Linked DNA regions of Kluyveromyces lactis. The main gene of each other region encodes a partner of the protein of the gene in region 6 in a complex. Links are inferred from orthologs where the notes say so. Each region holds a gene or a part of one and is shown on either strand. Other genes may lie near its edges. The genes, in order: NUP57, POM34, SEH1, NUP145, NUP1, POM152 and NDC1.

The links.
Region 1: POM152 (region 6) and NUP57 share a complex: the UniProt entries of both Saccharomyces cerevisiae proteins name them as parts of the nuclear pore complex. The link is inferred for Kluyveromyces lactis from reciprocal best matches to the Saccharomyces cerevisiae genes POM152 and NUP57.
Region 2: POM152 (region 6) and POM34 share a complex: the UniProt entries of both Saccharomyces cerevisiae proteins name them as parts of the nuclear pore complex. The link is inferred for Kluyveromyces lactis from reciprocal best matches to the Saccharomyces cerevisiae genes POM152 and POM34.
Region 3: POM152 (region 6) and SEH1 share a complex: the UniProt entries of both Saccharomyces cerevisiae proteins name them as parts of the nuclear pore complex. The link is inferred for Kluyveromyces lactis from reciprocal best matches to the Saccharomyces cerevisiae genes POM152 and SEH1.
Region 4: POM152 (region 6) and NUP145 share a complex: the UniProt entries of both Saccharomyces cerevisiae proteins name them as parts of the nuclear pore complex. The link is inferred for Kluyveromyces lactis from reciprocal best matches to the Saccharomyces cerevisiae genes POM152 and NUP145.
Region 5: POM152 (region 6) and NUP1 share a complex: the UniProt entries of both Saccharomyces cerevisiae proteins name them as parts of the nuclear pore complex. The link is inferred for Kluyveromyces lactis from reciprocal best matches to the Saccharomyces cerevisiae genes POM152 and NUP1.
Region 7: POM152 (region 6) and NDC1 share a complex: the UniProt entries of both Saccharomyces cerevisiae proteins name them as parts of the nuclear pore complex. The link is inferred for Kluyveromyces lactis from reciprocal best matches to the Saccharomyces cerevisiae genes POM152 and NDC1.

What each region holds. Positions count from the first base shown.
Region 1 is NC_006038.1:975,810-979,472, reverse strand, and holds NUP57 (FG-nucleoporin NUP57), read right to left. Parts: upstream 2,217-3,663; coding exon 501-2,216; downstream 1-500. Other genes in the region: MSS18 (Mss18p), read left to right, coding at 1-319; Golgi transport complex subunit COG2, read right to left, coding at 2,508-3,221. UniProt on the Saccharomyces cerevisiae protein: Functions as a component of the nuclear pore complex (NPC).
Region 2 is NC_006042.1:1,442,090-1,445,242, reverse strand, and holds POM34 (Pom34p), read right to left. Parts: upstream 1,689-3,153; coding exon 501-1,688; downstream 1-500. Other genes in the region: MEU1 (S-methyl-5-thioadenosine phosphorylase), read left to right, coding at 1-355; PSR1 (phosphatase), read left to right, coding at 2,439-3,153. UniProt on the Saccharomyces cerevisiae protein: Functions as a component of the nuclear pore complex (NPC).
Region 3 is NC_006042.1:649,975-652,645, forward strand, and holds SEH1 (Seh1p), read right to left. Parts: upstream 1,536-2,671; coding exon 501-1,535; downstream 1-500. Other genes in the region: ALG7 (UDP-N-acetylglucosamine--dolichyl-phosphate N-acetylglucosaminephosphotransferase), read left to right, coding at 1,827-2,671. UniProt on the Saccharomyces cerevisiae protein: Functions as a component of the nuclear pore complex (NPC).
Region 4 is NC_006041.1:1,686,104-1,690,346, reverse strand, and holds the start of NUP145 (nucleocytoplasmic transporter NUP145), read right to left. Parts: upstream 2,801-4,243; coding exon 1-2,800. Other genes in the region: kinetochore-microtubule binding complex subunit SPC105, read right to left, coding at 3,131-4,243. UniProt on the Saccharomyces cerevisiae protein: Functions as a component of the nuclear pore complex (NPC).
Region 5 is NC_006039.1:1,148,553-1,152,510, forward strand, and holds NUP1 (FG-nucleoporin NUP1), read left to right. Parts: upstream 1-1,158; coding exon 1,159-3,882; downstream 3,883-3,958. UniProt on the Saccharomyces cerevisiae protein: Functions as a component of the nuclear pore complex (NPC).
Region 6 is NC_006042.1:1,588,323-1,592,361, forward strand, and holds the start of POM152 (Pom152p), read right to left. Parts: upstream 2,801-4,039; coding exon 1-2,800. Other genes in the region: putative divalent metal ion transporter SMF3, read left to right, coding at 3,956-4,039. UniProt on the Saccharomyces cerevisiae protein: Functions as a component of the nuclear pore complex (NPC).
Region 7 is NC_006038.1:139,184-142,734, reverse strand, and holds NDC1 (Ndc1p), read left to right. Parts: upstream 1-1,230; coding exon 1,231-3,051; downstream 3,052-3,551. Other genes in the region: recombinase RAD52, read right to left, coding at 1-322. UniProt on the Saccharomyces cerevisiae protein: Functions as a component of the nuclear pore complex (NPC) and the spindle pole body (SPB), probably by playing a key role in de novo assembly and insertion of both structures in the nuclear envelope.

The DNA.
Region 1 (3,663 bases), on a different chromosome or scaffold from region 6:
TCCGGTAAAGTACTACCGAACGTTATCTGGCAAAGTTAAAGACATCCACAGGCGCGACTTATTCAAGTGGTTATTTTTGGAGGATACAGAGAGATTTAAAACTCCTGAAGGCAATTTTACGGGGGAACTTTCCTATAGTAAAAGGTTTATTGAATTTCCATCGAATAAACCTACAATTCAAATTATCCCATGTTTATTCCAAAATCTTACGGAGCTACCAAACGAAATGAATCATTGGCTTAGATTACCTGATAAAGAGTTCAAGGAGTCTACAAAAAGTAGGATATCAACCCTTTTCCATGGATTTTCAGGCCTATAAATCAAAGTGTCATGTCTTGACATAATGCACGGTAAGTAAGTTCTTTCTCTTAGAATAAAGTACACAAGTTTATAAACATTTGTCAGCAAGACAAAATTATTGAGGAAACTGCTCTCTTTTCATGCATTTGAATTGTTCGAGATTAATAACATTTCTTGAATCAGAAATGTGGTGATGATGTTCACTTATTTAGCTTTGTGTGAACTTCGTCGACAAGTTTCTGATCCTTTTCTATAACATCATTTAAGAAACATAAACCACGTTGTTGATTACTTAAAATTTCGGCTATCTTGTTCACCCGGTCTTCTAGTTCCTCGTCTTGATTATTTTTCTTACCGTTCGAGTTGCCGCCGTTTTCGCTAATCACAACAAGAGTGCTATCGAGTTGCTCGCTTATATTTTTGGCTCTTTCTTTCAATACAGAGAGTCTTGCCCAAAGTTCGTTGTTTTTCCCTAGACCTGCTGGATCATTGCTCTCTTGTAATAGTTTATTAAACTTGTTCATCATCTCCTCTTCGTGTAGGCTCAATGGTAAATTCTTGCTTTTCAATATGGCTAGCTGAGAAGCCAATTTGAGAATTCTATTTTCAATGACGGTGTTACGGGAAACAGCTTTTGCTATCCTTGACTGAGTATCTAAATCATGCTTAGTGTTAACTTGATTTAGCTTTTCCAAAATTTGGCCCAAAAGAACTCTAGCCTGTGCAACATGCTGCTTTTGTAATTGATTACGATCATTGAGATCCTGAAAACCTAGTAGTCTAATTGGAATAGTATTATTACCAGGTTTACTCATGAGCGCTTGATCCCAATCATCCTGCGAGATTGATAATGGTTTATTATACAACATAGCTTCAGTTTCCGTACATTTATTGTAAACAAACGTCTTAAGTTTTGATCTTTGCTCACTTGGCACCCATGATTCCTTACACTTTAGAATTTGTTCTTGGATTTGTTGCGGATAATTAGATATTTGTTGCTGTTGCTGTTGTTGCTGAATTTGTAGCTGTTGTTGTGGTTGCTGAACCGACGGCAACTGTTGCTGGGGCTGTACTTGTTGTTGTGTGTTAGACCATGCAAATGACGGTTGCATTGTAGTAGATGGCGTTGAACCAAACAAGGATGCCCCCCCTGGTTGTTGACCTTGCTGGCCCTGTTGTTGCTGTTGCTGCTGTGATTGTGTTTGATTTTGGCCAAAGAGAGATGTAGTAGCTGGCGCAACAGGCTTGGATCCAAATAGTCCTCCAGTAGTGCCGCTATTAGAAGTGTTATTGCCAAAAAGTCCGCCTGTGGATTGGCCCCCAGTTCTGTTTCCACCGAAAAGACCTCCAGAAGTAGCGCTGGTATTTGTATTTCCGGAATTACCAAACAGTCCACCCGAACTTCCTGTGTTCGCATTATTATTACCAAACAATCCACCTCCAGTGGGATTTCCTTGGATACCAGTGGTGGACTGCTGTGTGTTATTAAACAATCCACCTGCCGGTTTGGACCCAAACAAACCTCCACTGGTTGGGGCAGTATTATTCTGCTGTATTCCTGTAGAGTTTGCATTGCCGAACAACCCAGTATTGGTATTATTCTGCTGATTGGATTGGCCGAACAACCCGCCTGTTCCTCCCGCGGCAGAGTTCGTGTTGCCAAACAAACCCCCAGTAGAAGGTTTCTGCTGTTGCTGTGTACTTCCGAACAGACCTCCTCCAGTGTTTGATGTATTACCTATCGAGTTGTTATTCTGTCCGAACAAGCTACCAGCACCACCAGGCTGCTGCTGTGGCTGTTGTTGTTGTTGTTGACCGCCAAACTGGAACCCTGTGTTTCCAGCAGCAGGTTTGTTACCAAATAAACCGCCGCCATTGTTCATTGAACTATTTCCCGAATTCACTGCACCAAACATGGCTAATTGATGACAGAAAATTGAACCTTATCGATATTCACAGTGTTCTGTTAGTACGCTGGCCCTGCTATATTGTCAGTTCGTTCTTATAGATTTAATGTTAGTTGTGATGTTTGTTGATGCTTTTGTTGTGAAGAACTGAAAAATTCAAGATCGTTCATTATGATGAGATGAGGCTCAAAGTCAGAGATGTTATACACATTTACGTAAGGATACTCATAGCGTAGACTCGCTTCCACCTAGGGGGTGGAATCTCACTTTATTTGAATTGGGTTCGCATTTATCATATATTTAAGTTTTTATGGTTTGAGTTTGCTGGTTCTGCTTCTCGAGAACGGGTTTAATTAAAGGCTTTGCGGTCTCGAGAATACTTTTAAAGTCGTTTCTCATTCGAGTAATTAGGGTGGAATCATTGTCTTCCAAATGTCTAAATCTGTAGTCACAACGTATTAGTATAGTAGAGAGCTGCTTTGCCACTGTGAAGGAAAGCTCGTCGTCGATATTCAGCTGCACCATAGACTGTAAGGATGATACAAGTTGCTGGCATATCTTTAGCGATTCTGATAGCTTTGTGATATCGTCCAGTTTACCAAATAGGTTATCAAGCGATTTTAGGTAGGATAATGCTGTTACTGTTTTTTCTCTAGTTTCAGCCACTGAGGAATCACAAAGTTGGAGTAATTGCTTGTTGAACTGTTGTAGATCATTCAAGACTTGTTTTAACTTATTCAACACCTCGTTATTGTCACTAGTATTAAACCTGTCACATATTTCCATGTACTCGGGATAATTGTCATTGATTTCATCCAGTATAGTTTGTTCCATTGATTGCTTCAAGGCAGATACTTCATATGAGAGTTCGTCTAACGATACGTATTGGAAGTTATTCTCAAGTAATAGCTTATCTATATCTAAGCAGCCATTCTTCCGTACAAAATTGGAAACTAACTCTCTGCTTAGTTCTTTAGTTACTGGTAGATCCAAATCATCATTTAGGTCGGTCATCGCTGGGTGAGAGTAGTTTCACACAGTACTTTCCCTCTCTTTTCGCTCTTGTTCCGTTTTTCTGGTAATGATCGTTCGAATATAAGGATCGATTCGTACCTTTAAATATCTTGAACGCTGAATAGAATTGATAGTTAGAAAAATACATGTATATAACAAGGGCAAAGACCGATACATGTGTTTGAATGGGTAGTTTTCGGAACACACTTACTAAACTGATGGTGCAATACAGATGAATAAGGGTGATATGATTACTGCGCATCACGTGACTAATTTTCCTTAAGATAAGTAAATCTATAATCAAGAATGTTTAGATACTTTTGGTCCAATACCTCATCCTTACCTTGTGGCAATTGCATGCACTGCACTGTCACTACTATAACAGTGTCAACTAATACTTGATGGTGCTAGTTCTGTGTTTCATTTCTGTCTTCTTAGCTAA
Region 2 (3,153 bases), about 150 kb from region 6:
CCGTCTGATGGGTGGAGATGTCATCAACATGAGTGTGATCCCTGAAGCGAAATTGGCTCGTGAATGTGAAATTCTATACCAGATGGTTTGTATGTCTACCGATTATGATGCATGGAGAGACGAAGAAGAACCAGTGTCTGTACAAACTGTTATCCGTAATTTACAGAACAATGCCAAAAATGCTAACCATTTGGCATCCCGGGTCATTTTAGAAATGGCAAAGCAACTTCCTGAATTTATGAACAACGGTGATGGTCTAAAGGATGCCATGAAGTACTCCATTTCAACAAAACCTGAAGCCATGTCTCAAGATGCCTTGGCCAAGCTAAAGTTTCTATTCCCAAACCATTGGTAACGCTGTAAATTTCTCTTCTATAAACTTTATAAACTATACGCGGTAGGTAGCCATGTAAGTAATAACATTCTTATCATAACTGCTATCAGAGGTTCGAAACCAAAAGAAGAAGAAAAAGAATCGTTCTCCGAAGTACGCATGCTTTTCAGCGCTTCTTCATCGCACTTGGTGAGTCCATCATATAAGTATACCGGTTGCTTGGAATATATCCGGGACGAGTGTCTGGCTGTGAGCGTGTCGATGTGAATAAAGTTGTAGGAGTATTGGAGACATTTGTTATGTGATCGACACCAAAGGCGTTTACTTTCTTCGGTTGTAAAGAGAAAGATACATGATTTTTTTTCACTTCTGCTTGCTGAAGGGTATTCAACTCACGCATTTTCATTGGAGTCTGTAAAGATTTGAATATGAAAGGCTTGTGGCTGGATTTTGATTCTGCTTCATTTAAGGATTTCACTTTAGAGTTACCTATATTAATTGAAGGATCAAAGGATCTACCATAGTCGGGGGTGCTTTCCACAACCCCTAACAAGCGTTTTTGATTCTCGGTTAGATGCAAATCTGATATGTCCGTATTTTGTGCTTTTATCAGCAAGTTCCAAAGACACGATGCAATGTTAAAAATGACAATAGTATGGAATATACTGGTTGCAAATTGCCAAGAAAGCATTTGGAACCAAAATGAATTGATGTTGGCATGTGGGTTAATCTTATAAACAACGTTTTTCAATACGAAAAGATACAGTTCGTCTCGAAGTTGGGATCCCCTTTTAGTGAATTGGAAGAATAATGACACGAATTTGTATATGAGATTCCAAATCATTGCCAACACTACATTAGTCAACAACCTTCTCATCTCCAACTCTTTATTAACCATACGAGATGTGAAAGCAGCCAACGCCGGGTTTTCGAAATCAGTCAATTTATCATATGCGGAATCTTCGGAAAAGTTCAAATCCGTTTGTTGTTTCTGTCCCACCGGTTCGTCCGGTAGCAGATCAGAATTTGTCACTGGTGCGGTATCTTGCTGTGTAGAATATGCCTGGTTACTTTTTCCTCGAAAAACAGGGGATGCGGTATGTGTATTAGTTGATGCTGAAGGTTTCGCGTCAAATCTGCCAGAGAACGCAGATGCAGCAAACACAGAGGAAGAATCTGACTTGGAAACATCAGTCTTGCTGGTAGGATCACTCAATACCTTGTGTTTATACAATGCAGGCGACTGTTTGATAGCTTTTTCCCTTAAGGATTGAAATTGCTGCTGGCTCAAAGGCCTATTGGGAGTCTGAAAAGTCTTGGCCGGTGTGCCAGGCGCAGAAATTCCATTATCCATTGCTACTCTCACCTTTTTCCTTTATATATCTTGATCCCTGTATTTACGGGGTAAACTCTCGATCAATTACCACAGTAAAAACACCACTAATATCAGGATATGAAACTTACCGTATCCAGGTAAAAACTGAACGATTCTTATTTATTAACATTGAAGAACTAGCTGTGTTTTTAGTAGTTAAACTAAGAAGTGAATCTTCAAGCCGGCCTCTATCTCTTTCAAGTGAAAAACATCTCGTTACCCGCACCATCTTGTGCCAGGGAAAAGAAAAAATTCTTTTTGCTTCGTTTGGTTCGTTCTTTAAGTTTTGATGTTCTGTTCAGCATGGAAAAACCAGAAACAGTCAACTTTTGCAGATTAAACAATTTTGAGAATAGAACATTGGTCATTGACTAACTCTCTTATTTTAACTGCAACTTAATTTTTTTTGGAGGCCATTTACAGAAGGGCAGTAAAGTCTTGAAAAGTACCGGGATTTGTCAGTGTACGGGTACTATATCAAGGGGCCAGTGGTTTCAGGGAGCCTGATTGGTTTGTGTATTTAGGTTTTTTTTGTTTGCTATCTTTCTTTGCTTAGATAGAAAGAAAGAACATATATTAATAACAGTATCAATCCGTTTGAAAAACCAATCTGATTAATATCGGTTATCCATTTTTTTTGGGCTCAGTGTGTGATTTTTGGTTTCTCTCACTCGCTCAGTGTCTCGATTTATTTATAGGTCGCTGTTGATTTTGTTAGGAATAAAAGTGATGGGATTCATTGCATCTTTATTGTGTGGTTCAAGCGATTCGGATAGCTCTAGGAAACAGAAGGGTAGGAATTCATCGTCAAGTAACAATAGTAATAAAGGTTCTAGTGGGTCAAGCTCGGAGAAAAGTAAGAGCAAGAATACGCTAAGTGCAAAGAAGAGTGGACGTCCAGGGGTTGCTGCGACTCATTCAAGACAATCAGAAATTCATACTACGTTATCCAATTCTACAGCCAAGATGCATCTGAAAAAGAAAAATGCGGCGAACAAGCATAGCTCAACTGTAGCGGCTGTTGCAAGTGCGCCTGTTGAGAAGAGTCCGCTGTCGAAGAATACGGCTGCTGTTAGTAATAACGATACTGATAGTGATGTCGTTGACGTTGACATGGTTGGAGAGGAAGATGACGATGTGGATGTAAAAGGGGATGAAAAGCAAACACTGTTGGTATATAACGCTGAATCTGATACAAGTACTGGCACAACTGCAGACACCGCAGTGTCTGCAACTCAGCCAACTGCAGAGGTCACGACCACGATTCACGAGACTGAACATACCAGTAGTGCGGATGACTCCGAGGGCATTCATAGTCAAGGCGTTAGCGATGTAGAAATGACAAATGGGGAGCCCGAAGATGGGGAACCTTTGGATTTGTCTCAATTGCAGCCAGATCAGGCCCATGCACCGGGGTGCAATACCTTGTTGTTGCCGAAGGCCG
Region 3 (2,671 bases), about 940 kb from region 6:
AGAAAGCAGAAGTGCTAAGGAACGGAACCAACAATCAGGAACAGCAACGGAACGACAGATTTATCGGCCGGACGATGAAGAACTGTACATTCTGGTAACGGCGTTATAACAGTACTGTAGGTATATCATATAAGATTTTATGATGACACCGGGTATATCTGCATCCTATAAGATTTATAGATTAGTAAACTGTCAGTGTTTATTGCTATGTGTCAAAGCATGCGGAAATGTTCGTTTCTGATGCAATGTATTTCATGTGATTACAAAGCAACGGCTGGATGTGTGCAATTTGGGGCTTAGAACTTAGAATTGATCGGTACATGATAAACTCCAAGCAGGTGAGAAGACGGCTTTAAACCACCAATGTGGCGTACCTTTTAGCTATAAGGTTTCTATTTGTCAGTGTTTAGATTGAATCTCGAACCCTTGATGATATCTGGTCACGTGGTCAATAATTACATACATTTTAACATCACATTATGAAGGGATATATACATAAATCACCTTGCCGCTTGTACCACACTCATACACCTGAACTCGTTCGAGTAAGATGCTTTCCATAACCGAATCTTACCATCATCTCCGGTACTACTTAGGATTGTACCTGTGAGATTCCAAGATACGGACCATACCTCGCCCTGATGGTCTGAATGTTCGCTGATCAGCTCGACGTGAAGGTTAGCCACTGATCCATCTGCATCAATGGCGGAGCTGTCAATGGGTGGGCCATCACGTTCTATGTTTGCATTGTTATCGTTTTCTTCGTTTATAATATTCGTACCGTTGTTACGCGATTCGGTTACTTTGAATATTCTTAATTTCCCATCTTTGCAGCCCGTAGCGATCAATTGGTACCACCTGCCCACTGATGGTGCCCACGCAATGGATCTGATTAATCCAGTGTGACCCTTCAAATGTCCTGCTGGGACCAATTTTCCCTGTTTGTTTCTTTGGTAGATAGTTGCCTGATCCATGGCACTGATAACTAATCTTTCTGTTGAAAATCTGGAGGGACACCAGGACAGACAAAAATCCGATTGTAGATGTGATGCAGGTGGAGTATTTAAGACGGTAATCTCGCTTGTCAGGGTCCATGACCTAAGATCGGAAGACTCTAACGCATCATAAAGACGTAACTTACCATCATTCCCCAATGCAGCTAGCCTTAGTCCCAAATGCGATGGAGCAAATTTTACGCTGAACAACGGTCCTGTCGCATCGTTCAACGTACAAAGTTTTTGCCAACGCTTTCCGGATAACTCAAGGGCATCTGGATCCTCCTCCCATAGTTTGATAGTCTTATCGTATGAGACACTCGCGATGATACGACCAAATTCTGGTGCGGCCCAATCAAGAGACACAATACTGCTATCGTGAGCCTTCCAACTTTCGCTCAATTCCCACTCATTCGTTTCCTTGTCTAGCTTGAACACCTTGATATGTTGGTCGCTGGAACATGTTGCGACTCGACGACCGTAAAAGTCATAACTAATATCGTGCACTAGGTCTGAGTGTCCTGTCAAAAACGGTTTCATGATGATAAAAGATTTTATCGGATTTACCACTAGATTGGTCGATAGAATAACTTCAACCTTCAAAGCCGTGAAGTGTAGATATCTCTCAACTCAGCTCAACTCTCTTTCCCTCTATCATGCAACTTTTAGCTTTCGTTTTCGAAAAGTTCGAAGTTCAATGTTTAAAGGATTCATATATATCGAAAATCAAAACACAATAATTTAAGAAAGCGCTTGGCATTTTAAATGCTAAGCTAAAAAAGTGCTTACTGAAGCTTTATATATAGCCAGTACCAGCTCAGGGAATGAACCATGCTTTCTTATTTTTTGCTACTGTTTGCTATTGCAATAATTGTATATTTTAAAGATGTATCTCCTATCGGATCTGCAGTAGGGTTTTCTGTAATTGGCTACGTGGCAGTTGATGTATTGATCCCACAAGTAGGTGATTCCTTCATCAAGATTGGTTTATTTGGCAAAGATATGAGTAAACCTGGTAGGCCAGTGATTCCAGAAACAATTGGATCTGTATCTGCTACAGTGTATTTGTTTATCATGTTCTTTTCGATTCCTTTCATGTTTTACAAATATTTGGTGATAACCTCTGGAGGTGGAAATAGAGATCTGGTTTCTCAAGAATCGACGGAGGAACAGCTATTCCCACATAGTAAGTTAAGTGAATTTTTAAGTGCACTTTTATGTCTTGAATCCACGATATTACTAGGTGCTGCTGACGATTTGTTTGATCTTCGCTGGAGACATAAATTCTTCCTACCAGCAATTGCTGCGATTCCATTACTTGTAGTCTACTATGTTGATTTTAGCGTTACCCATGTTTTGATCCCTAAGTTTGTACAAGAGTTAATTGGTACAAGCAAGACATCCATTGATTTAGGCGCTTTCTATTACTGCTATATGGCTTCGGTCGCCATTTTCTGTCCAAATTCAATTAATATATTGGCTGGTGTCAATGGACTTGAAGTTGGGCAGAGCATTGTCCTAGGCCTAATATTTATGATTAATGATGTGTTGTATTTAACTATGGGTGTGAACGGACATGCTCGTGAATCACACCTATTCTCACTTTTATTGATCGTCCCATTCCTCGGAGTCTCACTAGCATTGTTCAAATGGAACCGCTGGCCTGCAAAAGTATT
Region 4 (4,243 bases), on a different chromosome or scaffold from region 6:
AAACAGATAAATGTTTGTTTTTGGAAATTATAGCCGTCTTTGAAGCATTTACAATGTCGTTGACAGAGAGGAAAAGAAGTATTTTCTGAATATCAGAAGCAGTGGATAGCATAGAATCAATCTCAGCCCTTGTTTCATCGACTATCCATCCACAGAGCTTTGCATGCCGTTGTTTTTTAATAAGAACTTTTTCAACTTCTGGGGAATTGACAGCGTATGGAAGGGAAAGAGGATCAAACAAAATGGATGCTAACTTCAATATTTTGTCTTCATTTGGGACATCAGAATATGCAGAAGCAAGATTATCGAACTGTAAGGAACATTTCCCAACAAGAGGATAACCATTTGGTCTGGAGTTGACTATGGATGTGTTCAGATAAGAGGCGAACACATTGTCAAAAGAAGATTTATTTATTGGCAAGTTGGACTGAAACACGATCTGCTTACAGCCTGACAACTGTGATGGATCTTTGAGCAATAATTGCCCGTTAATATTAAACTTCGCAAACCACATATGTGAGTTGATTCTTCTTTCTCTTTTAACAGATTGGTATGTCAATAAATCTTTCTTAAATGAAGGGAACAAGATATCGTCCAAAGAATTACCTTGCGTGTTTTTGAGTAAAAGTGGCTTGGAATACACAGACTGTTTGGAAGTACCTGCTAATTGTAATTGTTGCAACCAGTTCGATGATGTAACAAGTTTAGGTGCAGCCTCGAGGATATTCAAATCATCTTCGTCTAAATCAGAAGGTTCGTAAGGTTTTTCCTTGATAATAAGTGACATGTCTTGGTCAACAGAGTCGGATAGTACTGGAACCAAATCTAGTACTTCTTTCTCCATTGCAAGAGCCTCTGCTGCTGTGAGGTCTGCATTGCTTGGTACCTCCGCTTCAAGGGACGTGCTAGACTTCTTCACACTGTGGCGACGCTTGGGAAAGGCCAGAGGTCTGTCTCTTATTTCCTCGGCGTTTATTCTTTCTGCTTCTTCAGCATCCACCTCCATATCTTCTTCATTGACCATTCCCCAAACACTGAAATGTTTAACTCTAAAAGTCCAAATTCCACCAAATGGGTTATATGAAATGAATTCCATTTCTTTCATATTCCTTAAACGCTTGACAAAATATTGAACTTCAGCAATTTTCGAGTTGTCTTTAATGGGTTCTTTTGTTTTTTTATCGATCGGATAAACATTTTCCAAAGTTATTGTAGCAGGTACATTGACACCATAACCAACATCCGGTTTATTTTCGGTATCAGGATAGACTTCCACGGTTCTATTCTCATTAAAAATTATTGTTCTTCCGAATAGTTCTTCAAAATCATCCATAAATGCAGTTAAGTCAACTTCATAGTCAAAACTGATGGAACCAAAGTTTTTGCGACCAATCACAAAATTGGGCACAACCGTGAGCTGGTTTTCCGTAAGTTGCTCTAATTGTTCGATAGTAGGTGAGCACCAATAGTCAGTTGCTTTATTCGTTATTTTGTGTTCTTCATCCAGACAGACTTCCGAAGTTGGCTCTGTTGGACTAGTTTCTGAAGGATGTGCTGAAAAAAGAAGTTTATCATTCCTTGGTATACTAATCTTATGATCTTTCTCGTCCATATCTTTCATTATGGTAGCGGAAGAGTGACCGTTAAAGAGTTTCATCTTTTTGGCAGCGCTTCTGTCTGTATCAATGGTTAATTTTTTCATGCTTGAAACGTCCTGGTTAAAATAAGAAGCCAGTGAGTTTGTCTTATTGTTAATATTCTTCCCTTTTTCCTTACTCTCATCTCTTGAAAGTGCCGAGAAAGTATCCTGTTGGGCTAAGTTTTTATTTGATGGGGAGAACAAACCATGTGTTGTTTCTCTGCTCTTCAAATTCTTAAGTCTTGAAGTTAGCTTCCCTATCAGTGTTGAATTGCCTGTGGGAGGTAATATATTGTTGCTGATCACTGATGATGCAGTTGAAAATTTTCTATTTTGTTTCGAGTCTGAGACAGGCTTTCTCTCGTTACTCAGGGATGTAGTAATAGATTCTGGCATTGACAGCACAGGATTTGGACTTAATTGCAAACCGTATGGGTTGTTCGTTGGGGGTTGGCCAGGTTGCTGTGGCTGTTGTAGTTGAGAAACATTGAACAAGCCTGTTGAATTTGTAGTTGGTTTGCTGGACGAGAATAAGCTCCCTGAACCTTGTGTTGATGAATTTCCAAACAGTGAAGTCTTTGGGACTGTTGACGCCGTGTTCGTGGTATTATTAGAAAATAGACTATTAGTTTGCGATGGAGTATTTCCGAAAAGTGACCCACCATTGTTTGATTTATTACCAAATAAACCACCACTCTGTTGCGTATTTAATCCGTTTGATTGGAACGTATTGTTTGTTGTCGCACTGGGGTTATTTCCGAATGAGATACCAGTAGCTGTCTGTTGTCCACCAGAATTTCCGAATAGCTTGCCAGCACCATTGTTCTGCTGGGCATTCGACCCTGGGCCAGAAAATAATGATGTGTTGGGCGTTGATGCAGCGGCGTTATTAGGCTGGAATAGAGAATTCGTCTGTGGTGTATTCTGGGAAGCATTGTTGTTTCCAAAAAGATTCAACCCAGGCTTGTTGTTGTTGTTCTGAGCATTGCCAAATCCTGTTGGGTTTCCAGGGCTCGGCGTGGAGAGTGTATTAGCACTAAACAATGTGCCAGTATTGGGTTTTCCATTCAAAACCCCATTGTTCGCTGGTGTAGAAGTTGTAGGTGTTGAGGTGTTCGCGTTGCCGAATAACGAACCAGGCGCTTTGTTATTACCAAACATAATCAACTTGTTGTTGAATTTATGATGATGATGTTTAAACTGTACAGATTCAAAAATGACAGCAGTAACAAAAAACTGAGAAATTTCGTCTGCAGCAATGAACACCAGCTATGGAATTGGTTTTTAGAAGCTCTGCGATCAATGATAGCCAAGTAGTGCACTTGTTAGAGTTCAAAAGGTGTTTTGTTTACACTCATCTTACTGTTTAAATGTTATAGAATAACAATTTTTTGGAATATTGCCATTCGAGAGAAATTTAAAGAAATATCGTACGAAACTATATACTGCGTAATGCCTAAAACTTGCGCTACAAAAGCTCGGATATCCATATCAAAGAGCTATATTACAATTGGAGAGCCATTTAAATACCTTTTCATATTTCTTTATGAGATTAGACGTTAGATTTCTTGCTGTTTTTTCTTCGCCATAGATAATATTAACATTGATGGTCGCATTTTTAGAGTGACATATCAAATCAATAAACCTTTCCATAGGCAAAGAAAGGGCTACTTTGCAATGATATTTATAGTCCAAATGCTGGAATGTGACATATTTGATCTGAGAATTCTGTGATGGGGCATTGACGGTTGCCGGGAATACGAGTTTTAATTTTTTGAATTCTGAAATGACAATTGAAAGATCTATCAGTTGACGTTGCAAACTTGATATGCACTGTAGTCCATTTATGAAGGTTCGCTGGCAAGAGTTGATCCAACAGTTTATAAATTCTCTTTCAAATTGGTCTATTCGTTCTTCTCTAATACTGAATGAAATACATGACGGTTGATCAATTTTTGAAAGATCAGCTGTCACAATAACTTTGTCGTCATGTAATGATACAGATAGGACTGGACCAACTAACTTTCTGAACTTTATACCAGAAATGCTTTGGTAAAGCTGATGGACTAGTTTAAGCTTTGCCACATCATATTCTGTGCAAACTTTGCTTTGTTTCAAGTCCTGTCGAAGTTGAGCAATCTCTTCGTTCACTTTACTCATCTCCAATTTTGCATCTTGTATTTTTTGGGTAAGTTGATCTTTTTTAGTGGTCAGCTGGTTCAAGTCTGACACCTTTAGCATGTTCTCCCTCAAGTCTCCTTTCAATTTGTTCACTTTCAGGAGAGTCGTTATGTTCTCTTTCTTGTTACTAAAAACATCGTTGTGCTGCCGAAGAACATCAAGTTCTTTCATTAACACCTGTTTGATGTCACTAACTCTTATTTTCACGTCATTTATTTCATTCATGTATTTCATGATCTGGGCATTTTCATCCACCAAGATAGCTATATTTTCTTCCAGGACTGTTTTAATTCCTTTCAAATGTTGTGATCTCCACTCAAACCAGACTTTTTCAGATTGTAATCTAGCCATTATGGTTACTAATTCTAACTTTTCGTTAATAGCATAACGGGTATCAGTATCTGCCTCAAAATACTCTTTTAT
Region 5 (3,958 bases), on a different chromosome or scaffold from region 6:
AAATGCCTTCGTTTGTAATTTTTCAGTTTTCTTCAATTGAACAGTGGATATACGCTATTCTAATATCACATTTTTCTCGAGGCAACCCAGATTCGATCAGGGAATATTGAAAACTACAAAAAAAAAAAAAAAACTATATGATACCATTAGCAGAGCTCAGCCATAAAAATAGCACATTTATGACATTTATGACATTTATCGATCTCCCACTTCATGACTCGTAGTCGAAGGCATCGTGCGATGTTCCACTGCCCATTTTCTTCTAGTGTAATGATTCTTTTCTTTTCGGATTTAGACTTATGTGTTCGTTTCAGTCTTCTGTCCCTTCAAGGTGTTTTTTGGGATTTTCCTTGACCGATATGGCCTCTTCGTTTCGGAATCAAGCGGTCTGTTCTGTGGTGTCGAAGCCTCATAACCACATTCGGTGTTGCACTTTTTACTTGATTTCCTCCATGACGCGTTCTTCAAGGTTTCCCCAAACTAAAAAAAAAAAAACAAGATGGGACGAATGTATGACAGGATGGGGAGAAATCGGTCACGTGATAATCTGAATTTCACAAGAATAGAACACTTGTACTGTTAAGCATGGCATTGATGCACACTACGTTCTATCCTGTGCGTTCTTGCAGTTTAACGTTAAGTTTTTCTTTACTTATATATCAATTTGTTCTTTTCGATCCCTCATGTCACTTTCAGGCCTTATGTATAGAAAAATGAACAAAACTTGAGTTCTATATAAAACTTGAAAGCTAAAATAACGAAAAAGGGTACTTTTGTATTAAGTGGACGGCAAATCTTTAAACTTTCATAATGTAGAATCGTTATAATAAATTTTGGATAATAGTCGAGCCCCATATTGATGTTTTGGAACTAATGCAAATTTATGTCCATCTCCTAGCTAGACTCTCTTATACTGACGCCTTGGTTAGTTTAGGTCAATATGTGTCAAACCGTACAAAGTGATTATAACCCTGTAAGAGGAAAAAAATAACAGCTAGGAATGTTAGGACTTGAAATATCGAATTATCAAATATCGAATAATACCTTTATTAATACGCAAGAAAGTTACAGAAACAGCAGTTTCGAAAGAAATAGGAATCGAAAACTTGAATTGGACTCTGGTTCACTTGCCGCATATCACGGCCACTTTATAGAATAATGTCGGCATCATATCTGGAAAAACCCAAAAGATCGATTTCATCGACTTTGGCATCATTATTTACCAAGCATGACGATACGAATAGCGAAGATCCGAATATAACAAGGTCGCACAATGAAGATATCAGTGATTCAGGATCAGTGGTCATCAAGAGGCAAAAACGTGGCTTCGACGGTTACGAGGAATTGGTTTGGAATAACGAAAAAATCACCGATCACCCGTTAAATCACAATGGCATTGATGATATCAATTATGATGAAAGACCGAATATTTTCTTGTATGAAGGGGATTCTGAACATGGTGTAAGGCCTCCAGTACTAACGATAGAACCGAAACAAAGATTGCGGCTACTAAGGATGCAGCAACTGCGCCGTGCTCGGCAATTCCCACTTTTACAAAGACAATTACAATCAGCAGAGAACGGCCTATATCGCTTAACAGACGGCAAAAATGCTACTATAAAGAATTTACTCGTCAACAAACTACAAAGTGACAAGAAAAATCATAGGGTTTCCGATAACCCAAAGTCCAAGAAGTGGAAAGCTGATTTTCAATACGATTTATCAGAATATGATATCTTGAAAAACGACAAAAAGACGAAACCAGTATCTGCCTCAATGGGGAATTTGGAATCTCCTAAACTACCACATCCATTGCTAAAAAGGAGTACCTCTTCAAAGAAACATGTCAATACTTTTGATCAAACAGGAGTGCCTAGTGGATCTGGCTTAACTGATGTTCAAAGCAGGTTATTACAAGGAAAGACATTGCAAAAAAATCCAAAGATAGCACAAGAAGTAGTTGCACCAACACTATCATTGAAACCTATCGTCAAGGAAAAAATATCAGAAGATAAAGTTTTAAACGCTAACGGCCCAAGTGTTGGATTTGACTTTATGAATAGAGACAGTACTTCTATTTTCCCAGGTAGCACAGATACACCTACCAAACCAACAGTATCCAAAAATATATCTTTTGGAAATACCAAATTGGATTTATTCAACAATGATAAACAGAAATTAACGGCCCCTTCTCAGGATTCTGAAGAGTTACCAAGAAAAAAGAAAGAATTTAGTTCTACTGAGGACACTGTTAAACCATTTCCCTTCACAAGTTCTAAGTCGCTGGAAACATCAACTGAACCATCGAAACCTGCTTTTTCTTTTGATGCGGTAAAAAAAAACAACACAGCTACAGCCAATGGAGGCACAAAAATCTCAGATGGTGCTCCTTCTTTCACCTTTGGTGATTTATCAAAAACCAAGAAAGAGACCAAAAAAGCTGAAACATCCAAAAACCCCTTTGAGAAATCCGCCCCCGAACCTGTTGAAAATCTGGCTAAAGACGGCCTCCCTAAGTTCAGCTTCACTGGTGCGGATACAACTGGGATATCAAATATACCTACATTTAGTTTTGGAAAATCTTCAGAAGGCAAAGAGATAGCTAAACCCGCCCCTTCATTCAGTTTTGGCAGCCAAAAAGATGCAGGCGAACCAACTAATGTCAGTGAAATGTCAAAACCTATGTTTAGCTTCAACAAAGGAAAATCATCTACTCCAGATCTGACCCCATTGAGTACCTCTCAATCAACTAATACACCTAAACCACTATTTCAGTTTGGTTCCAGTGGTAGTACTGAACCTGCCGCAAAGAGACCAGATGGTACAAAAACTGAAGCACCAGTGCTGCCATCATTCAGCTTTGGTGGTAAACCTGTAGGAAATGATTCGTCAAAAAATATTGAGAAGGAAAAAGCTAAACCTTTCAGTTTTGGGCAAGCTTCGAATACATCAGCATTTTCTCTCAACCAACAGCCTTCAGCAGACAACGCGACAGAGAAGCAGGAAGCCAAAAATGCCGTCAGTACTGCTGTAAAACCTGCATTCTCCTTTGGTAGCACCCCAGCAGCCCTACCTTCTGATACAACCCCAAAAGAAGCTGCTGCACCATCATTTTCGTTCGGGACCACAAAGAAACCTGTTCAAGGTGATATGAGTTCGAAACCTGCATTCTCTTTTGGAAGTTCCTCTGCCATCCAGCAGCCCTCAATTGAAAAAGCTTCCAATGCAATTCCTTCGTTTGCAAGTCAGAACACCAGTGGCCAGCCTGTCAGCGGACTCAAATTTGATTTGACAGGGTTTAAAAATAATAATAGACAAACTACTCCGACTCCGTTTTCAGATTCATCAAATGTTGGATCTGCTCGTGGAAGCAACCCTCCTGTCCCATTCTCATTTGATAATGTCGTTCAACCTGGGAATAAGATAAGTGTAACGCAGCCTACTCAAACTACATTTACTTTTGCACAACAAAATCAAAAACCATTTACTTTTACTGGAAGTGGGCCAAGCACTACCAACAGTTCACCTGCATTTGGAACCAGTTCCAATCAGCCTAATGTACCTTTTTCATTCGGCGGAAGCTCAGCTTCTTCCACTCCCCAGGTACCAGCATTGGGTACCGGTTTCGGTAATTCTATGCAGACAAACACATTTAATCCTTCAGCCGCTGCCAATTTTAATTTTGGTGGTCAACCATCTCAAAGTCCTTCTGTAGTATTTGGATCCCAAACCCCGCAACAGAATCCATCGTCCATATTTTCCGCTGGTCAGCAGAATCCAGCGGACATATTCAATGCGCAGGCTTCAACTCCTCAAGGAGGGGCACCATTTCCACCGCAGCGCAAAATTGCTATGCCCGGTAGGAGAAGAAGAAGAGGCTAATAAAGGAAAACAAAGGCTTTGCATCTCAATTGTAACAATTATTGCATGATATCATTCCTTCCGACATCTTTACATT
Region 6 (4,039 bases):
CATATTCTATCAAAAAGGGTGGTATGCCGTTTAGAGACATATCGATGGTTTCTTCAAACCCTTGGCAGACATCATTTTTAATGTAGTTGAAATCGTCCAGTTTTGAGATTCTGTTGTGCTCAATTAATGAGTACGTAGGTTTTTTGAGATAACTTACTTGGAAAGTATGGTTCGGATCTACGATCTTGCCAACACAACTCTGGTCACGAATTGAAGCCAATTTATACAAACCTTCCTTCATAACCTTTAAGGCCGGTTTATAGTTGGAACTGAAAGTCACCTCTTCAGTTTCGAGAACGTCTCCCTTGTTATCCAAATGGCTATAGGTGATTCTGAAAGGTCCTTCACCTGAAAGTTTTAATGGAAGTTCTGCGAATGAAGCTTCTTTAATGCTGACTTGGGAGGAAGATTCTGACACAGCAAAAGAAGCAGAAGGAATATCTCTTCTAACGGTAATTCTGGCATCAGTACCACTTAGACCTACCAAACATCCACTGGAATCCTTCACAGAAACTAAAGATAGGATATGATCACCACCAATGTTGAAATTAGGTGTTTCGATCTCATAGGAAAAACTTTGAATATTCTCTTTATTAAACGAAGTTCTCTTATTAGAAGAAGTCTCTACTAAATCATAGTTTAACGTGAAAGGAGGCTCACCACTGAATTTAATAGGTACCTTCGTTTTCCCTCCAAGACATAATTTTGTCTCTAGCTTCCCTGAAATCTTTGCACTAGGTTTCACTCTCATGCTGGTTTTGAATGTGTACTCTTTCGAATCTAAGGAGATAGGAGATGTGAAAAGTTCATTTGACAATTCGGTGAAAACAATTTCATAACTGCCTTCTGATGTGGGTGAATAAGTAAACTGGTTTCTGGTTCCTTGGGAGCTGAATTTTTTTGTATCATATAGTTTACGTTCTCCTTGCTCAGTTTTGTATATTTTTGTTTTGTAGTAAAAGGGAGGAACACCGGTAAAAGTAAGATCAAAATTCAAGCCGACCTGTCCAACACATTGATCTAATATTGGGGTTGATCTTACAGATAATTGAGGAGGAATTGGTTTAGTTATCAGAACATTAGATTTTCCAATCACGGCACCGTGGCAATACCTCGATTTTACTGAGAGCAAATTATAAGAACCTGGCTCATCAACTTTGAATTCTAATGTTTTATCATTGAATTGTTTTTCGAAGTATCTCACTTTGGAGTTGTTATCTTCATGGGATAACTGAACGATGAATGGAGCATCCTTGTTAAAATCGCCAGAGTCCAATTTGACTATTAAAGACCTTCTAACAGAACTGTCGGGATTCATTTTTTCATCCAAAGATACTCTTGGTAAGTCGTGCACGTAGAATCTGTGGATCAAATCATACTTTTCTCTTACTTGTGATGATAATGAGGAAAAATCAATGCTATTACCAAATCCATCCACAATTCTTTCGATAGAGTAAACATGTTCACCGTATTCTTTGGTTGAAGTTTCTAATGCGATATCTACAGGGTACGAACGAGCCCATTTTAAATCTTGGACATCTTTTTGACTGTAGAATTTTGAATTCGTTAGCAAAGGTGATTCAAAATATTCTGGTTGAAGTGATGAATCTTCTAGTACGTATCTTTGGCCATTGATTGTCTTAGTATAAGTCAATTTAAGAGGTGGAGCACCTTGTACCTGAATTGAAACCTCATCATTATCTCCAACACATCTATCATTTTCTCCCTTTCCGTTAATGGAAGCCAATGGGCAGTGAGGTAGCACTAATTGGGATTTGTATATTCTCAAATTGATATTATTAGTGTCTAGAACGGTTTTCAACTGGTAAAACCCGATTTTGTTAAGAGGTACAGTAAAGTAATGTATGTTACGATCAGTTTCTTCCTTTGAAATATCTGCCTTGAGTGGTTTTAAATCGTTCTTGGTGAAGTTCCACAGTTCACCTTCATTTGAGTATAGATCTCTGAACTCTAACTGGACTGTATTGATTGTGGATGATGAGTTGACTCTTATAGGTAGTTCAATGGCAGGACCAGATTGGTCCAGTGGTAGACAAAAAGACGAGTGGAAGGGATTCAAATATGCTGTATTTTCTGGCAAAATTTTAATGGTATGTGCACCTTTGAAGTGTTCTGCCGAATTCATAGCCTTTCTTGGGTTGACAGAGTCACCTGTTAAGGACAAGTCTCTGCTGTGATACTGTCTCCATAATGACAATAGAAGCGATACCAATGGGATACTTTGTTCACTGGAGATAAACAGTGTGAGGGTTGCGGATGAAATAATCTGCAAAAGCACTATCAGTGGTTTGAACTTTAATTTGGGTATTTTGAACGTGGGGAGACAGTAAAAGAACAAAGAGTCTATTACCAAATATTTTGAAATGAAGTTTAACCTTGAATTCGATAGAAAAATCCCAGATAATGGTATCCCACTCTTAAGTAGGATTAGATCGTATAGTTTGTAGCATTGAATGATAAAAAAAACGACGAAGGCTAATCTTCTCTGACTGGCTGCATCGAGAACTTCAGTAGAAATCAAAGGTAGCTCCTTAATCGATTCACTCGCTGGGCCATTCTTTGCTCTACTAGTGCTTGACTTCGATTTTCCTGTGTAATTGGAAAAACCGGATATACAAAATGGATCTTCTTTTGGTTTGTTGATCTCTTCATTTCTTCGATCGCTTATTCCTCCTCTGAACGAGTCTTTATCTCTATTTCCAACGTTCCTACGCCTACTATCACTCCACATCGATGGAGTATGTGTATAGAACCCATTTGTTCCGAAACTGGAATCCATTATCTAACTGTATATGCGTCTGAACTTATCTCAGCTTCCCTTTTCAACAGAATATGATTCTAAAGTGCCAATACGCAGAAGTTTAATAGAAAAAAATGGGATCACGCATACAACTTATCACTTAGTCGCTCGCTTTTTAATTGACGATTGGTATGTAACGGGTGCCTGGATCGCGATTGCTTGTTGATCCTAGCCTGCATCTGCATACATGAGAAGACCAAACATAAGCTTAAAGTTTGAACTTCTGTTTGTTGACAAGATCTGAATCGGATATATCATTATGTACGATTCAGGTTTCGCTTCTGATCAAGGTACAATGGTCAAGGACGCAGCAACTCTATATGATCTGCCACTACGTTGTGGTCTTAATATTCGAATTATAGCCTCTTGAATTCTTCGCCTATCCAGAATTACCAGTGAGATCGTTTGCATCGATATTATAATGTCGATTCCGTTGCATAGCTCCATTGCTTACGTCAAATTCCCGTCAAATTCCCGTCATCCTCTCATAAAACCCTAGTCAGAAGCAAGGAGGACATAAATGCTAGTAAGCAAATGTCTTTACCCCATCTGGCTAATGAATCCTGAATTAGGTAAGTTTTATCATGACCTCATCTGATAAAAACCTCGGCAAATTTGAATGCCAGATTCAGTAATAGTAATGATAGCTAAGGGTCCTAACATATATAATATATATATTTACCAGAGAGAAAAAGAATGTTTTGGTTGGAATCGAGATACTTCCATTGTCCAGGATCGTCTCCTTTTTTGAATCACAACTGGAGCACTGGAACTTATTTGTTTTCAACACCATATACAGCTCTCACGTTCGTCGTATATAACATTACAGAGGTGCATTTGAATCTCCTTCTATAAAAGAAGTTTAGAAATTTAAGGTTTTGATTTATTTGATTTGCACTCTTACAAATAAGTCATTTACGAGAAGAGAGTTTGCTAAAACACGATACGTTAGAATCTGTAAGAGTTTGAGGCGCTAGCTCAATAGAGGTCAGATATTCTGTGTTGTAAATTGGTGATAGTTCTGCTGTTTTCATTCTCTGTTTATTGGAATTTAGATAAAGGAACGAAAGACGGTAATTTATTCTTGGCACGTTACTGTTGGTACTTAAAGATTATCTAAACTGTGAAACTGCCATGCTTATACTATCTCGTGTATTCGAGAGGAACCATGTTGAAATTTTGAGGAAGTTTATGAAGTTTGTCGGACCTGGGATCATG
Region 7 (3,551 bases), on a different chromosome or scaffold from region 6:
GTTCATTTTCCACGGTTCCATACCCAATATCCTCTCTGAACGTTCCATCGGCTAACGAAACACGAACAATAGCGGTGCATCCAATACTAAATCGACCTTGCCTTTCGTCAAGGAAATCTATAGTGACATTTTTAACCTCCGTAGACCATCCGTCATACCCAAAAATCTGGTTTGCTAGATTGATTGCTTTCCAGCCTTCGATATATGCTACTCTACTGGATCCAAATCCTACTCTCTTTGAAATATATTCTGGTCCTAGCTTCTTATCTAACTTCGTTTGAATGTCATCTTTACCATTCTTGCCACTTCCTGTATCCTCCATATCTAACAAACTGCAAAAAGGAAAATTGATGCGAGTCGCACTAATATACCAATCCACAAAATCTTCTACCAGTTAAAGACACAAGCAAGGTGGTATCCTGTCCAATTCAACAGCGCAAAATCGTTAACTGTTTGACCTAGTTTGTTTAAGTTTTAGTTTATCAATACAGTAAATTTGAAAAAAGTAAACAGAGCAGTAGCTTAAATCACGTAAACTTGAAAAAGATCTGTTTCTATCGGTATTAAAAGACGCGAGAGCCATGTAAATTGAAAGGAGTTTTGAAAGGATGGCAATGAAACTTAACATTATCATTATAGGATTGGCAGTACCTGTGCTGTCATAGAAGTACTTACATTGGTCATGAAAGTGGCGACGCAAATCATTCTAATATTTTCAGTACTCTATGAGTGACCTTGTATATATTTGTATATATCTTTTGGACAAGAATATCAACTTTTAAGCGTTAAAGTTGACACGAGACCATTGTTACAAGAAAGAGAAAGAGAATATGACACATATTTAGTTGATTTACTTATTTACATGTAACAACTGTTTACGATATCATCAGGTTCGCGTTTAGCGTCTATATGTTGAGACTGACCTCACTGACAAGGAGGTGATTGTCTTTAGTTTCGAGTTACCATGCAAATCAACTATGACATTGGCATAAGAGGGTTACCCGAATATCTAATTTTTTTATGACGCCTGATCTCTAGATCACAACCTGTTAAGAACTTAAAATGCTTGAGATGATATACAAATAAATAATATAAGTAACTCGGAAGGTAATTGATTGTCCTAAAGTCCAATTGACCTTTGTCTGTTTTAAGCATCTAAAATTACTCAGCTTATTGCTATACAGGCTGTACTTTTACCTGTGTTCATCTTTGATTGGTTTGTTTTCATTGATGTCTTACGTGCAGAGTTTAGGACCGGTTGCACCGCAACTGCGTGATTCTCGTTTTACTTACCATCGGATATTCAGTGGGGTATGCAAGAGCAGGTTTAATAATTTCGCCAGGGGTTTACTCTTCAAAACAGCGGTACTTGTCGGTTTAATTACAACCATTACGACACAATGGGAGTTGTCGAAATCTCAGAAATTACTGTTATGGCCAGTAAAAATATTATCTTTCTATGTTGCAATGTTGATGCTAATTATTACCAGGAAAAACTATCTTCATGTCAATTACCTTGGATATACGAGCTGGATAAGCGCATCATATGGCCAATTAGTCTCCCGTAAATGGATCACGTACCTTTTAGTTTACGTTGTGAGCGCATTCTTCCTTTCTTTGACATTTTCCTGTTGCTTTTTCACTCCAGGTACTGGTTCAAGAAAGCATTCACAGCATTACGAATTTTGTTGTCAGTTTATGGTACCTTTTTTGTATTCCATCCAACATGTACTTTTAGATCTTGACAGACTTACTTTCAACTACGGTGCTCAACATCAACATCCTCAGAAGTTTATGGCTTCAAGAATCCATGATTCATTTTTGAAGTGTCTTGTGTTAACTGCAATACTCTTTCTAATTACTCCAATTCTATTAAAGCTTTTATTCGGACATCTAGGCTCTGGTATATGGTCCCATATTAGGATTTGTTGTATATGCTTGTTAATCTTGCAAACATGGGACTTTACAAACATTGGCTTCGACGCCTTTCTATCAATTGGTTGCTTGCATAAAGGTAAACCAATCTCTTCGTTATCTCCAGCTTCAATGGAGACATTGATCACTGGGTTGAGATCAGAAAAATTATTTGTTAAACTTACTGCATTCCAAGAGCTGGCCTACAGAGCCACTTGTGCAAATGTGGAGTTGAGGCTCCCAATTTACCACAATACCTATAGAAATAGCTTGATCTGGCCCGGTATACTTAGAGAATGTATGATTGTTATTCAAGAAACCAACTATAACGTATCCGATTTCTTGCTTACATTGAAGAAAGAGATTGATCCCCAGCCTACAAAACCATCTTTCCCTATCAATAGATCGGTAGATCATTTATTCGGTACCAACCATACTGTCAGAAAACAAAATAATGATGAGGATTCCAGATTACCTGGTGCTCCTCCTACTGAACAAATAAATTCGGATCTACCATCAATGGCTTCACATAGAATCGTTTTAGAGGACAGCAATGTTTTCAAAAACAACGATACCCAAAGAAGTCCGAATCCTCCGAGATTTATCGACTCATACAAACAAGCAATTTTTACCAGACAACCTACAGTACTTTCTGTTTTGACTGATCTTTGGAATTGGATACAGAGAAGAATCAGTCAGTACTTTTTCACCATCGATTCAACTGATAACACGAACAAGAAGCTCTCATTGTTTGAACTTTACCATATATCAAAAGTAAGGGAAGCTGAGAAGTTGTGTCCTGTGCCAGTATGCTATGCCGAGTGTGTGTATTCGATGATGGGTTTTATAGTAAATTCTGTGGATGAAGATCCCAAAGGAGCTGTCGTATCTTCAGTCGGCGAAGTATTAAAAATTTTGGAAAGATCTATTGGCTCTTTAGGTTCGTTTACTGAATTAATATTGGATGGAAAACAAGAAAAGGATTTGAATGATGTCATAAGTGTGTTGTATGACTTATGTATCAATGCATTTTTGGAAATAGTTTTGAAGTATGACACTCTCCTTAACGATGTTTATTTGGACGAAGATGTCGTGAAGTTAACACAGTGGTTGCAAAAAATGTCACAAGATATTTAAACATAGCTTGGCATCAATTGGATTATTCCCAACAGAAGCATGTTACTCTAATAATATTCAAAAGTTATATTGCTTTCATTATAAAAGAGAAGAAATCTACCCCAAACTTCTGGTATGTTATAGGAAGATGTTACATGTACTGAACAAGCGAGCGGAGAATACTTGCTTCTTATTCCAGAAGTCGGAATTATTCATGAAATGTTTTTATTTTCCATTAACCTTCACTAGATCATAATGACCATTGAGGTTAGTATTTGAGTTACAGCAGAACTTTTGTTATAACAAACTTATTTTAGCATTACGTATGAATAAAATACAAACCAAAGCATACAAACGTTATCTTCATTTTTACAAAAAGGTCATTACGTATTTAAAAAGACTTTTTCCATCGGTTTATCAATTCATCGATCCGCACTAGCTTTTCGTGCACAATTAACGTTTCTCGCCAACCGTAAGTCTTATAAATTTAATAGCAACGTCTGTAGTATCTGCTCAAGAAG